Linked DNA regions of Caenorhabditis elegans. The protein of the gene in region 1 interacts with the protein of each later gene in a pairwise test. Each region holds a gene or a part of one and is shown on either strand. Other genes may lie near its edges.

Region 1 (4,096 bases):
TATGTGATTGCTCAGAGATTTCTGAGAATGTAATTACTTGAACTGTTGCACCTTGCGCAATTCCTGAAAAAAAATGGATCCTTTATTAATTAATTTGTGAAAATTTTACAGTACCTGAGAATAAACTGGCACAAGAGCTTGAGCTTCAGGCAGGTCCATTGATAAGAGAGTAGAGGTGAAGGAATAAATGAACCCGCGCAGAGTGTTTTGGTGGGGCGCAATTATCGATTTGGCGCGCGGTATTGGCAGAGAGCAAATGGGAAGGAGAGTGAAGAAGATGTAGATAGAAAAAGAAACTATGCGTAGTTTGATCTACCAGTCCTGTATTCTGAAGACCAACTAATTGTTTGATTACTCCATAAAATCAGTGATCACGATAGAATAGGGTACTGTAGGTTACCGTAGTTATCAACAATTATCAGTTTCCTTCAAGGGCGAGAACGAGATTCATTGAGTACTTTTAACAAGAAAAAATATTAATTAAGCAGTAGAATCTTATCAATTAAGTTCCTATGCCACCAAAATCATGACTCGCAGTGATGATGTGCATGGTGAACACGATCTTATTTCCACATTCTGCTCCACAAATTGCACATTTGAATGGGCTTCCTGGCGCGTGAAGGGCGTTATGCATGATGCTCATTGTGGCATCGTGGAACTTGATCGTGCAGTGCTTGCATTCCTGAAGAGCTTTTGAGTTGATGAAAGTGTACTTTGAAACTTAAGAACTTACAAAGCTTGGGGTTGGCTCACTGGTAATTAGATTTCTAAACCTTGGCTCATTGGGGCTTAGAGTTGGTGAGAGCTGTTGATCAGTGTTTGGAAGAGTTGCCTGAAAATTTCAAGTCTAATGGTTTCAAAGAACGGCACCAAAACCAATATTGAAAATGAAAACATACCGAGTTCTGTTCACAGAATTCTTCGATCATCGGGGAAGTTCCTAGATTTATGCTCAATTTTTGAGGCGGCTTCTCTTGTGGCGAGATTGCCAACTGAGCTCTGGGACTTCCTGAAGTTGATACGGTGATAGGTGACAGTCTGGCGGAGCTTGTGGGAGCAGGAGCCGAAGAGCGCAGAGCCTGAAAGGATTGTTAAGTCTTAAAGAATTATAAAGCTTTTCACCTCTTTATGATCAAAATGGTAGTGTACCAGGAGATGCCTAGGACTCCCGAATAACTTGTGGCATTTTCCACACGGAGCCGATTCGCTGTATGAAAAGTGGTGATGGTTTACGAGATGATTTTCAACGCCCTCATAGAATACGAACTGCATTGAACAGTTCAACACGGGACAGTCGAAATGTGATCTTTCCTTGAGATGGTTGTGCAGGTGCCTTTGAAGCTGAAAATTACAAATTGCTGGAATTGAACAGGAAAAATGGAATAAAATCTGCTTGCCTGATCTTCCCTGAAGAATGTTCTCTGGCAAGTGCTGCACTTCTTGGATTTTGAACCAGAGTGAGTTATTTGATGACGCTTCAAGTTTGGCTTGTTGGTGAATTGTTTCTCACAATTTTCACATCTGAATTTGTGATTGACCTGAAAAAACGTATAGTTGGAGGAGGAGAAGCTCAGTGGCTTAAACATTTTCTCAAAAACTCACCACATTGGAACGTCCAGGCCTACACGTAATGTGCTTCATGTGCGTTCTCAGCGTTTTCTGAAAAATGGTAGTGAGCTCTATATACTAACTAGCAAAAAAAGGAAGATTATCTGCTGTACAGTAAATTTTGTAAAATTAAGATAAATTAACAACACTTTTTTGCTCACTTCAAAAACTAACCTGATTCGCGAACTTTCTTTTGCAAACTTGACACTGGGGCACCTTAGCAGAATCCTGATCCAAAGTGGAAGAGGTTGCAATAAGCGACAATACGGCGTCTAGTGATGACAAACTCATTTTCACAGAAGAAATCTCTGCGGATTGTCCGAGGGCAGGGAGGAAGGGGAGTGAGAAATGTTTTTGCGTAGTTGCAAAAAGAGGTACATAAGTTCAAAGACTGTGTCCTCGAAAGCTGTGAGAAGTTGCGTCACATATGACGTTGGGGCTTTTGGAGAAGCGGGGCCGACGAATTTATGAAATGTGTGTAATTGCACATTGTAGAGCTGATTGAGTTTTTCAGTATCTCAGTTTTTTCAGTAATTTCTCCATTGACGATGCACCTTCTTTGGGGGGAATATTGTAATCTTTAACAAAATTCACAACATTTTTGGAAGACCAGCTGCCAACTGTGCCAAATTTGCCGGGAAACGAGACGCTGCATTATGCATTATTTTATCGATCCACTAAGATTATCTCCTAGCGTTATTCACTCATAATCTGCCTCTACAAGTCTTCCTATTCGTCATTTTTCTGCAATTTAGTAGGTTAGTAGACATGCTCGTTATAACAAAGGAATTTGTGTCAACTTACACTATTAAAGCAATCTCCAACTTCAAGCCGGATACCACTTATTGCAGCGAGGTTAAAGAATATTACTATATTCCATGGTATTTTTAACTTTCCTTTTTTTATTTAAATTTTTATATTTCCAGGAAACTCCATGTCAATCGAAGAACTGATCAACTTGAGGTGTATCTTAGTTGCGACCAACTTGGCACAATTTGGTCAGTTCAGGCGAATGTTGAAGTGAAGCTTAGATCTCCCAATGAATCTCCCCACTGCAAAACAGCCACTGTAAATTTCAATAGTGAGAAGCCGAAGGAAAACTCATGGGGATGGAAGCAGTTTGCCGATTGGGAGAAAGTCGCAAAAAACTTTGTGATTGAAGATGCGCTACACTTTAAAGTTCATGTTCAAATATTGAACGCTTCTGGGTTCAAGGGAAGAGATCCGGTTTTGAAGTTCGACAATGAGTCTATGGGAGAGCTGTCCGATGTGGTTTTGGTAGTGGATGAGCAGAGATTTCATGTTCTGAGAAAGCATCTCGCTCTGCAGTGCTCCTACTTCAAATCCTTGTTCTTTGGCAGTTTCGGCGAGTCGAAGAAATCAGAGGTTACCCTCTCTGGGATAGACCCGGAAGCCTTCCAGGCATTTTTGGAAGTTCTCTATTTGGAGGACTCGATTGATGGTTAGTTTTTAGTGCTCACATTGGTAATAATTTAAAAATTTCAGACAATACCGTCGAAGGAATCCTTCAACTTGCTGACATGTACGATTCTAGAGCGGTTATTGGGAAATGCGAGAAATTTCTTTACAAGGAGTCCGAGAAGTCCGGGAAAAAGAAATTGGAATTGGCAATTAGATACAAGTTGGAGAAACTAGAGGTAAGTGCGTGCACCTGAATATAACCTTATTTTATCTTCCAGATTCACTGCTGCAACACCATCAAAACCATCCAAGATGTCCGCTCAATTATCGCTGGAAACATTGATGAAATGAGCCCATTCCTGATGAAGCGGGTCTTGAAGCGAGTTCTTGAAGTTTAAAAATTGTTCGTTTTCAAATATGAATTGCATTTTTCTAATAACTGATTTTTGGCCACTATTTTTTCTCTGTTTTCAATTGTAAAGTTTTATTTGCCAGTACAAAAAATAAATTTACGTTTTCTTTATATTATATTGATGAGAAAATTTGAAGACTTACAGAAGAAATTCAAATCATGAACCAGACCAAACCAGAAAAAGTCAAGTCAAGAATTCAAGAAACTTTTATCTAGCATTTCATAAAGTATTTTGATAAGACATATACATAGTTATATTTTGTGGAGTTTAAAAATATAGTTTTGAAAAGTGAAGTTCAAAAACATAGAAAAATAAGAAGTTAGAGGTTTCGAAAATAAGCTTAATTCGAAAGACTCGAAAAAAATCTCAAAAACTGGAAAAAATTGAAGATTTCAATCGTCGGACGGTGTTTGACAGTAACTCGTCGTCGTCGTCGTAAATAGAAGTAGTGTTGATTAGAAAAAACGATGGAATAAAGAAATCAGAACCTCCAAATAGAAAAAGTTCCATGAATGTTTTTAATTCGATAGGCACGCATGCCATGAACATCAGATTCCTCGGCTGAATTAGGCATTAGTAGCTCTGGGCTAGAGTGGGGATAATCATTGTAAATGTAGAAAATGAAAAGTTCAAGGTCTGGATTCAAAGCCTTT
Region 2 (5,090 bases), 8.7 Mb from region 1:
CAAAGCTCGACCCAAAGCAAGAAAGTGGAATTTTCCAAGCGGTTCGAGGTGGAGCAGAAGTTTCTGGAGGAAATGGTGGCGGATATCGAGAAGCTCATAGTGTCCAGTGGAAGAATGGATGTGGAGCTGAAAGTTGTCAAGGCTAGAGAGGTCGCGAAAATTCATTGCAAATTTTTCAAATGTTTCAAACTCATATTTCAAATTTTCAGGAAAACGATAGTCCACGTGCAAAAATCAGCCTGGTCCGGAAAATTCACGCGGAAAAAGTCGATGACAATCTCAACAATCAAGCCGGGCTTGTTGGCTTCATCCTGCCTGATTTGGAAATGAAGGACCACGGGATTCCGTTGAAAATCACCAAAAACCAGCAAGTTCCGTCGGGCCAGAAAATGTTCGAATCGTTTAAACGTCTTTTTGGATATTGATTTGATTATGAGCATGATAAAGATTTTCTGATTTTTTTTTCAGAACTATTATATTTTATTTTAATTGTTTTGTTCTTTTTTCAGAAATTAGAAATTCAGGAGTAAAACACATTTCATTTAATGATATTAAAACCAAAAACTTTGGAAAAACAGGTTCAAATAAATTATTTTCGATTAAGCGGACTTGAGATCTTCAATCTTCTGCAGCACAAGCTTCACAGGTTTAGTTGCTCGTTCTTCAAATTTGACAAGAATATTCTTCACATCGAATCGTTCGAATTGATCCAGCGAGACGTCCTGTGACAGGAAGAAGTTGCAAATTGGGTCGACCTGAAGACAAAAAGCTTTATTTAAACATTTTGCAAGCTTCCAAAACTTACAAAATAGTCCTTCCAATCCTCATCACCCAAGTACCTATCACCTTTGAAATATCCCATCAAAAGCGTCATCACACTATCGGGCACAAGCCCGAGCTCCGAGTTCTCGCGTAAGTATCTTTCCAGAGCTTCCAAATTCTCCCATTGCATACCGACTTCTTCCATCTCTTCGATAAAGTCGATCAGGTGCTTGCAATCTTCCTGTTCTGGGCAGTAGAGGTGACACGAAAGAGCAATGTCGTATTTTCGGTAGAATTCCAGCGGCAGCTCGTCTGTACCGACAAATTCTATGGCGGTGGATATCTGGAAATTTTTCAATGTTTTTTGGAGAAGTTGACGGAGGTTTTGGAGTTTTAAAAGTATATTCTCGGATTTTCTTAATTATGGATTAATTAAGCCGAAGCCCTAAACCTAAGCTTAAGCATATGACTAATCGTAAGCCTATGCTTAAGCCTAAGCGGAAACCTACGCTAAGTCTAAGACAGGCCCTAAGCCTTAGCCCAAGCCTACGCATAAGCCTAATCATACGTTTAATCAGAAGCCACATCATAAGCCTTATTCTAAGCCTTATTTTAAGCCTACACATAAGACTAAACCTAACATTTGTAAGGTTAAGCCTAAGCCTAAGCTCAAGCTTAAGCCTAAGCTCAAGCTTAAGCCAAAGCCTAAGCCTAAGTCTAATCCTTAACCTGAGCCTAAATTTTTTTAAGCTTCAATACCTTCAAACTGAAGTGGGCCCAAATTTCATAATTATTAAAATTTCAGTTAATCGCCAATTTTTTGTAGAATTTCGGCGAGAAGTCTTCAATAGTTTTTGAAAAATCTCTGAAGGTTCTGAAAAAAAATATCTATCAAAAACCCCTACCATTTCCTCATTTCCTGCTTTAATGCACTGAGCCAAAAATATCATCTCGATTTCCATCCTATTATGTGTAAAATCTCCGTGTATAGGTGGATACCTTCTGTCCAAACTTGGAGCAACTTCAGTCTCCTCCGATTCCTCCTCGACTTCAGACTCTACCTCATCTTTCAGACGTTGATATTTTCGCACCAGCCATGCGGCTTCTTGAATTTGATGCTCAAAAACTTTGGCTCTTTCCAGAATTCCATACTTCTCAAAATCCTCAACCAACAGGTCAAGCCTGCTCAGAATGGAAAATGAGCATTTCACAAAGTCCAGGTCGGTGAAGAAGGAGACGGCGGTGAGCAGCTTCAGCGTGTGCACCGAGACTATTCCGTCGGGGTACTCCTCGAAAGTACTGTCAGCAAACCGTTTCAACATCCAAGGCTTTTCGTGTTCGATTTTTTGGAGTTTAAAGTTTTGATAGTTGGAGGCCATGGAGAGTGCTAGCTGGTTGTTTGGAGCATGTCGCTGCACAATGTATGGGAAGTTGTGTTGCTCCAGGATATCCATAGGTACAGTGCCAAATTTCAGCTGTGAGAAGGCTTTGGTTATCTGGAAATTATGGGACGATTAAGGAAATTATGGGACGATTTTCTGAATTTCATTTTAAAAAATTCACGCTGCTTGCAAAAAATCTGGTTTTCTAGAAACTTTTTCAAACTTTTTCCAGATTTTCACTTAACTTTTGAACTTTGAGGTTTCAATAGTTGAGTGAAAAAAACAATTTTTAACCCACAAAATATCATGTCAAATTTCAAATGAATGTTCGTTCAAAAAATGAGTTCTTGGTTGAATTCAAAAATCCGCCCAAAAAATTCTAAAAAATACTTTCCTTACAATTTCAGTTTTTAAAATGTTTTTTTTTAAATTTATTTTTCCAAACATCAATATTTTGAGTTTTTTAATAAACGTTTCTAATTAAAAAATACATATAAAAGCTTTGAAAATTTGTAGATTTTTTTAAATTTTAGGTGGCTTGCAAAAAAAAATTCCACACATGGCAATGTTTTTTTGAACAACTTTTCTTTGTAACTTTTTCAAATTGCATTCAAAAAATTTCAAAAAAAAAAGTTGTTCATTGAAGCATTGAGAATCTTTTTATTCCAAGACTAAAAAATTCAAAGCTTAATTTTTTTTAAATAAAATTTTCAGTTCAAAAATTCGCCAAAAACTTGTTTTTTTTCTATTTTCCAAACACCAACCAGTTGTATGAAAGATTAATTTTAAATTTTTTTTTTTTAAAACTTACCAATTTATCGTCTCCAGTCCTGATGGTTCTCGCGAGAATATGAGCCGTATATTCTGTGTCGTTCATTTTCCACCGAGAAGATTGCAGAGAGTGAGACAGAAAAATAGAGGAATTACACCGAATACACGCCATTGAGACTAACTTGGTACATTGAGAGAGACTCCACCCAGTTTTTTACAAGCGCAGGCGGGAAGAGGGTATGTACCAAGTTGCGGGTAAGTACATTTTATGGCTGTTGGGGGTGCTAACTTGGCAGATGGACGGAGAAAAAACAGGAGGGAATATTTCAAAAATTTATGAAAAATATTTTTTCGGAGCCTAAAAATTTTTAAACAATTCCAAAAAAAACACAATTATAAAACCTCAGCTATGACAACAAATTTCAGTTCCACGAGCTTCTCAATTGCTGGAAATACACTTCAGATTCCAAAACAACTGATCTCCTAGACTCCGAAATCCCAATTCTCGATGTCCCACTAATATGTTTCCCCAATACCGGCAACTTTTGCATGAACTCGTGTCGCCAAGCCACCGAGCAACATAAAAGAGCAACTGCCATTACTAAGGCTGGTCTGAAATTTTTTTTTTTTAATTAATTTTGTTGAAAAATTATGGTGAATCGACTCACAATAAGATGAGATTCTCTAGTATGTGAACGAAGAACACTTGAAGTCTTTCGAAGAATCCGAGCATGAGGCAGGTGAACACGAGGAGAGTTAGGGAAATGTGCACGGAGCCCACGAGAACTGTGTACTTGGCGAGCTGGAAGAGAGAAGTTCGTTGGCCTAACTTTTCGCTGGCCAAGGTTTTTCTAAACGAAAGCTGATGGGATGGCCTAACTTTTGTAAAGTTAAAAATTTGGCCGAGACAAAAATAGCATGACTTTATGAATTTTTGACTTTTCTAGGACTTTGGGTACACAATTGATGGCCTAACTTTTGCTAGACAACATCCTCGGTCTTGCTTTCGCTGGCCTAACTTTTCCTCACCTTCAAGCTTCGAATATTCTCCTCAACTTGAAACTTTCTCGCCAATGAATATTTTTCATGGTCGGTTATATTCTTCCGCATCTGATTTCGGAACACGAAATTGATTCGAAGAATTGTAGCGTAGGCTGACGTGGATAACACAATGCAAACCGCCCATTGACCATAAACTACGAGGAATGGTATCCGGTTATGGATCACAAAATAGACATATGGAATTGTAATAATATTAACTAGTATGATAAGGATTACTGGGATATGGCGACGGCGTACGTGCTCGTAGTCGCTGGAAAATATACAATTGAACGTTCCTGTATCTGGCGCCAAATTGGAAATTTTAAAATGTTAAAATACTTTGGAGCATAACTTAAAATTTATTTCATCAAAAAAATTAAATTTGGTCTAATTTTTTTCAGAGATTAAGATTTTAAGACTAATTTTCAAATTTGAATTTTCAAAAAACTCACTGAATATAAAACGTCGCACATGCTCTTTCCACACCAATAGCCATAATTCCAAAAAACATGGAAAACATATAATGTCTGTAAACATAGCATGCTATGTACAATACCCTTATATCATCAGTGCTCTCCACCAAAACCATATCATTTCGTCCGCTGCTCCACCAGGAAAAATATGATTTTCCGGGTGAATTTCCGATTTGAATTAAGCCAATTTGATAGGGAAGTATAAGAATTTTGGCGAGAATCGCCTCAAACCATTGGCACAAAAAGAACGCCATTAAAATGTTCTTGTTCTCGTGGAAAAGTCGAATTTTTGTGATGATTTTGCAAGTTCTTACAATAATATATGCCGTGGAGCAGTAAATGAGAATTTGGATTGCTGCGAAAAAAGGGTAAATTGGGGACTCGTAAACTCTGTCGTTTAAAGAGAAAACTGGAATCCATAGAGTTTCTGTAGAGTTTAAAAATGCTATGATCATATTATATGTTCTCTGAAAAATAACAAAAAATTGTGAAGAGTGATGAGCTTGAAGCAAACGAAAAAAGAAATGAGTGAAACTTGCAAGCAGATGTTTGTGCTTGAGAAATGCGTCAGCAATTTTTTTAAAAATGAAAAATGAATTTCCTAATGAGACTAGAAATATTTTCATGTGTATTTTGTATTCAATATTTTTTGTTAACTGAT
Region 3 (4,213 bases), on another chromosome or scaffold:
CATCTTGAGGTTCGAGAAACTGATCCGTATCCCTGGCCGGGGCTTTTCTCTTTCTGGAGACCTCGACCATTCCTCGCCGGGCTTGATCGATTCGTGACTGCAATCTGAATGATTTTTTTCATTTAAAAAAAAATTAAAAAAGAATAATTATTCAATTTCCAACACCTTTCCCGACTCTGAATTTGCTCCAAAATCTCCGTCTCTACGTCTTGAGCTCGCATTTTCTCACGAACTGCCGTCTCCCAATTGTCGGCGGTGGTGATTTTATCGCATTCCGTGATTTTCGTGTGAACCTCCCCGAGCCGTGTGCTCAAATCAGTCGAAATTCGTAGTTCTTCAGCTTCCAGCCACGTCATCGTCGAGCACAACACGCTGAGCGACTTTCCGGTGCCTGTTGGAGATTCGAAAATGCCAATTTTCCGTTGTTCAATGCATTGGCGGATTTCTCGCATCAAATTGAGTTGAATGTCGTATGGTTGAAATGGAAATGAGAATTCGTCCATTCTGCTGGGATAGAGTGAGAGATCATTTATTTCGGTGAGTTTTTTTTTTGTAATTGAAGAATAATATATAAGAAGATAAAAATATATTCGGGATTTTCAACTGGGAATTCGATTTTTAGCTGAGAGTTTAGAGAGCGGAAAAATTCATGAAACATTCACAATAAGTCAAATAGGACCCAAAGCGATTTTCACGCCAAAAATACGGTGCCTGGTCTCGCAACGAAACATGTTTGTTAAACGCGAAAATTTGTGCGCCTTTAAAGAGTACTGTAGCTTCAAACTTTTGCTATTGCGGATTTTCGTCGATTTTTCGTAGATCACAATCAAAACCCAAAAAAACTTTAACAAATGCTGGGAAAAACTATGAAAACCTGATAAAAATCGTTAAAGGCGCACACTTTTTCGCATTTATCATACATTTTTCTCTTCGAGACCGGATACCGTACTTTTGGCGCAAAATTTCGCGTATGGGTAATAACGGCAAGGGAATTTTGCAAATTTACAGCAAATTTAGACGAATTTCGTGGTAATTAGCTTTAAAAAAAATACAAAAATCCCACATGTAATTTCAAATTAAAATAAGATACAGATACAACGATTAAAAAATGCTTGGATGCTGCTCAATTCGATCAATAGTTTTTTGATAGGCCTCCATAAGCCGATCATAATTCTGTGAGAGCGTCGAGAACTTGGTTTCCTCATCCATTTGTCCACAGGCCGCTTGTCGAAGCTCATCGGGTGTCAACGCGAGATTCAGACGCTTCCAGTCCTGATCCGATTTCTTCATTGGTGCATACAACCGACGTTTCACATCGATTCTCTGCGCTTTCAGCTCTTCTTTATCCTTCTTATTTGTAGCACGATAACGCAAAATTTCATAGACTCGACGGGCTTGTTGTCTGGAAATCTTGAGCTTTTCCAGTGCGGCCTGACGCATTTTGTCCGAGTATCCCCTCTTGAGATTCTCCGGTGCAAATTCCCGCAGTGTCATGCAGTTGACACAATCCACATAGTCACGGAGGCTGACGAACTGATCTCCGGGAGACTCGACGGTTACGTCGAAAACTTCTGGAGAGGCACGAAGATCTCGCAGGAAAGATTCCATGAAACTGGCTCCAATTCCAGATTTTCTGTATTGAGGGAGCAATAGCATCTGTGCAATTCGTGGACGGATCCTGTCAATGTAGTTGTAGAATTTGAAGAGTGTCGCGTAGCCAGCCACGTTGGCCACAGTACTTCCATCTCCTTCACCGGTGTCGCAGCGTTCGTAGCTGGAAAATTGAAAAATATTTGAAATGCGTTCGATTTTTTGTAATTTCTGGAATTCGCCGCGAAATCTTCTCAACTTACATAAAATAGTGAAGCCAATTGTCTTCAGTGTTATCTGTCAGTGAGCAGCACTCGATGAAGCTGAAAAAAAAATTTTGTAGGAAAATCCTTATTTTTTAAGCACTCACAACATGCCGAGAGTCTGGATTCTTTCTAGGAAAAGGTTGAACTCTTCGGTTTGCTCGGCGACTTTGTAGACCTCGTAGCTCTTTCCTTTCAGCTCAAACTTGTGTACCATCTCACCGAAAGGCTTGAAATCCTTCTGTTTGATGAGCTTCTGCTGGAATTCTTCTTTTCCCGAAACCAGAACATTCGGACGAACGTCTGGATGAACCAGCTTATCAATGACGTCATCGGCCTCCAGTCCGTTTTCGTTTTTCGCTTTTGAGGAATAGCTCACGTTTATGTAGCTGTAGAGGGTTTGAGCTGTGTGATGGATGGTAACCTCGAGATCTTCGTAGCCGAAGATTGTCTCCTCATCTCCGAAATGCTGATAGACCATCTCTGGTTCGTAGCGTGGCGCAGTACTGATTTCTTGCATGTTTTTTACTGAAAAATGGGAACTTTCAAGCGAAAATTCGGTTAAACTCTTACAAAATGTCATTTTAACGACAGCAAGTCCGTCGGAAATGTATCTCCGATTGCGATTGACATTCGTGACGTCCTCCATAACCATGCTGAAACTGTTAAAGAGTTGAAAACGCCATTGAACCTTGAAAATCGCGAAACAAGACGATATTTAATCAATTTATTTACCGATTTTGCGTGGAAAATGAGAAAAAATGAAGGAATTCCGACGAAAATAAAAGAATAAAATTTAAAAAAGTTTCCCGCGGGCTTTCTCACTTCGTAAATCGACACAAAAGTGTCTCTTCGCGGCGAGACCCGTTGACTTTCGCAACCTCTCATAAGAGATGGCGTTCTCTCCGACTGTCTGAGTGTCGCGCGTCTCTCACGGCCACACACTCTCTCGTCGCGCTTTTTTCGAAATACGCCGTGCGAGTTGGCACGTTGCCAGGGATCTTCTGATGGATCCGTGCTGTTTTTCACGCCTCCGGGTGAATTTTTATCGATTTTTCAGAAATTTTTCGCTTATCTCCCGGAATTTTCATCCCAAAACGGATAAATTGATTGATCAAGTTGATTCGTGAAGTTTAGTTGCATCATAAAAATTATAAACAAACAAAAATATCGAATTTCAAGCGTTTTCCCCGTAAAATGTCTCATTTTTATTGTGAAAAATGGCGCAAAACCGCATTATTTTGCTCTAATTGCCCGGGTTTCGCGGTTTTCTCACGATAATTAGATAAAAAAGAGTTAATTTCCATAGTTCGGCGGATTTTCGAGAATTTTTGTTGTTTTGTTCAATTAAAACTTTGTTAAAATCAGAAATTAAGTTTTTTAAAACTCGTTGTGAGATTTTTCATCGCAAAATTTATAAATTTTTCCTATTTATATAAAAGTTTTGCTATTTTACCATTTTTCCGTTATATTTTTGTTGAAAACAACCAAATTTCATTGGAATTTTTTGAAAAATATCAAAAAGAATTGGTTTTTTCAACGGTTTTAATGTAAAAATATTTTTTTTCAATCGAATTTTCTCTCACAAATCCGCTCAAAATTGTCAAAAATCATTTTTAAAAAATCGAATTTTCAGAAGATTCCAAGCAACAAGTTGATGGGAAGACCATCAAATAATGCATGAGCGTTCGACAAGAACAGGTAAATTAAATTCCACTGAAAATTTCTGAAATTTCACGGATTTTCCATGTGAAATGTCCTCTAATCCATATCAGAATTGAAGGAAAACCTCGGACCAACAACGTTTTCAAATACGAGCAACATCAGCAGAAGTATCCCATCGGATTGTATGGTGATAATAGGTGGCACAATTCCTGCCTCACATCACTCGTTCCCTGGTATGGAACATGATCGTTCATTGTTCGATGCGTCGTCTTCTTCTTCAAATGGAGGAGGATTATCGCAATTTGTTGAGCAACGTGATACAAATGACGATGAACGAGAGATTGAGGTAAAAAATTGGCGTTTTTTAACCCTAGAAACTGGATTTCTAACTGATTTTGTGGAGAAATAAAATAAAAATTAAATTTTAAGTTAGTTTTGTTGAAAAAATGGATTAAAAAAGGTTTTAATCTAATTTTGTCCAAAAAATCTAAAAACATGATTTCCAACCAATTTTGTCAAAAAAAAAGAATTTTAAAAATGATTTTAACCTAATTTCTCGATAAAATGTATCAAAACATGATTTTAATTTAATTTAGTCGAAAAAATATATTAGAAACATGTTTTGAAACTAATTTTTCCATTAAATAGATTTTTAAAAACGATTTTGTAAAAAAAACTTATTAAAAACATGTATG

What was found. Proteins that work in one complex are often made in the same cells at the same time.
Region 2: the proteins of sdz-12 (region 1) and Y57A10B.6 interact in a two-hybrid assay, tested with the Caenorhabditis elegans proteins (one large-scale study listed by BioGRID).
Region 3: the proteins of sdz-12 (region 1) and hat-1 interact in a two-hybrid assay, tested with the Caenorhabditis elegans proteins (one large-scale study listed by BioGRID).

The regions. Positions count from the first base shown.
Region 1 is NC_003280.10:3,729,650-3,733,745, forward strand, and holds sdz-12 (Zinc finger protein sdz-12), read right to left. Parts: upstream 2,175-4,096; 5' UTR 1,900-2,174; coding exon 1,783-1,899; intron 1,660-1,782; coding exon 1,603-1,659; intron 1,539-1,602; coding exon 1,398-1,538; intron 1,342-1,397; coding exon 1,123-1,341; intron 1,080-1,122; coding exon 900-1,079; intron 833-899; coding exon 734-832; intron 683-733; coding exon 503-682; downstream 1-502. Other genes in the region: bath-31 (BTB domain-containing protein), read left to right, coding at 2,377-2,489, 2,535-3,070, 3,115-3,266, 3,309-3,428. UniProt on the Caenorhabditis elegans protein: Together with ehn-3, may play a role in gonadogenesis.
Region 2 is NC_003280.10:12,388,087-12,393,176, reverse strand, and holds Y57A10B.6 (SEC-C motif-containing protein), read right to left. Parts: upstream 3,095-5,090; 5' UTR 3,022-3,094; coding exon 2,956-3,021; intron 2,259-2,955; coding exon 1,668-2,258; intron 1,106-1,667; coding exon 806-1,105; intron 756-805; coding exon 600-755; 3' UTR 515-599; downstream 1-514. Other genes in the region: Y57A10B.7 (Gag protease polyprotein), read left to right, coding at 1-150, 210-425; sre-41 (Serpentine Receptor, class E (Epsilon)), read right to left, coding at 3,338-3,527, 3,584-3,717, 3,945-4,227, 4,409-4,884.
Region 3 is NC_003281.10:10,404,734-10,408,946, forward strand, and holds hat-1 (Histone acetyltransferase type B catalytic subunit), read right to left. Parts: upstream 2,516-4,213; 5' UTR 2,509-2,515; coding exon 2,427-2,508; intron 2,382-2,426; coding exon 1,961-2,381; intron 1,914-1,960; coding exon 1,854-1,913; intron 1,775-1,853; coding exon 1,102-1,774; 3' UTR 515-1,101; downstream 1-514. Other genes in the region: ATP-dependent DNA helicase chl-1, read right to left, coding at 2-104, 166-503; M03C11.3 (PH domain-containing protein), read left to right, coding at 3,530-3,554, 3,629-3,864.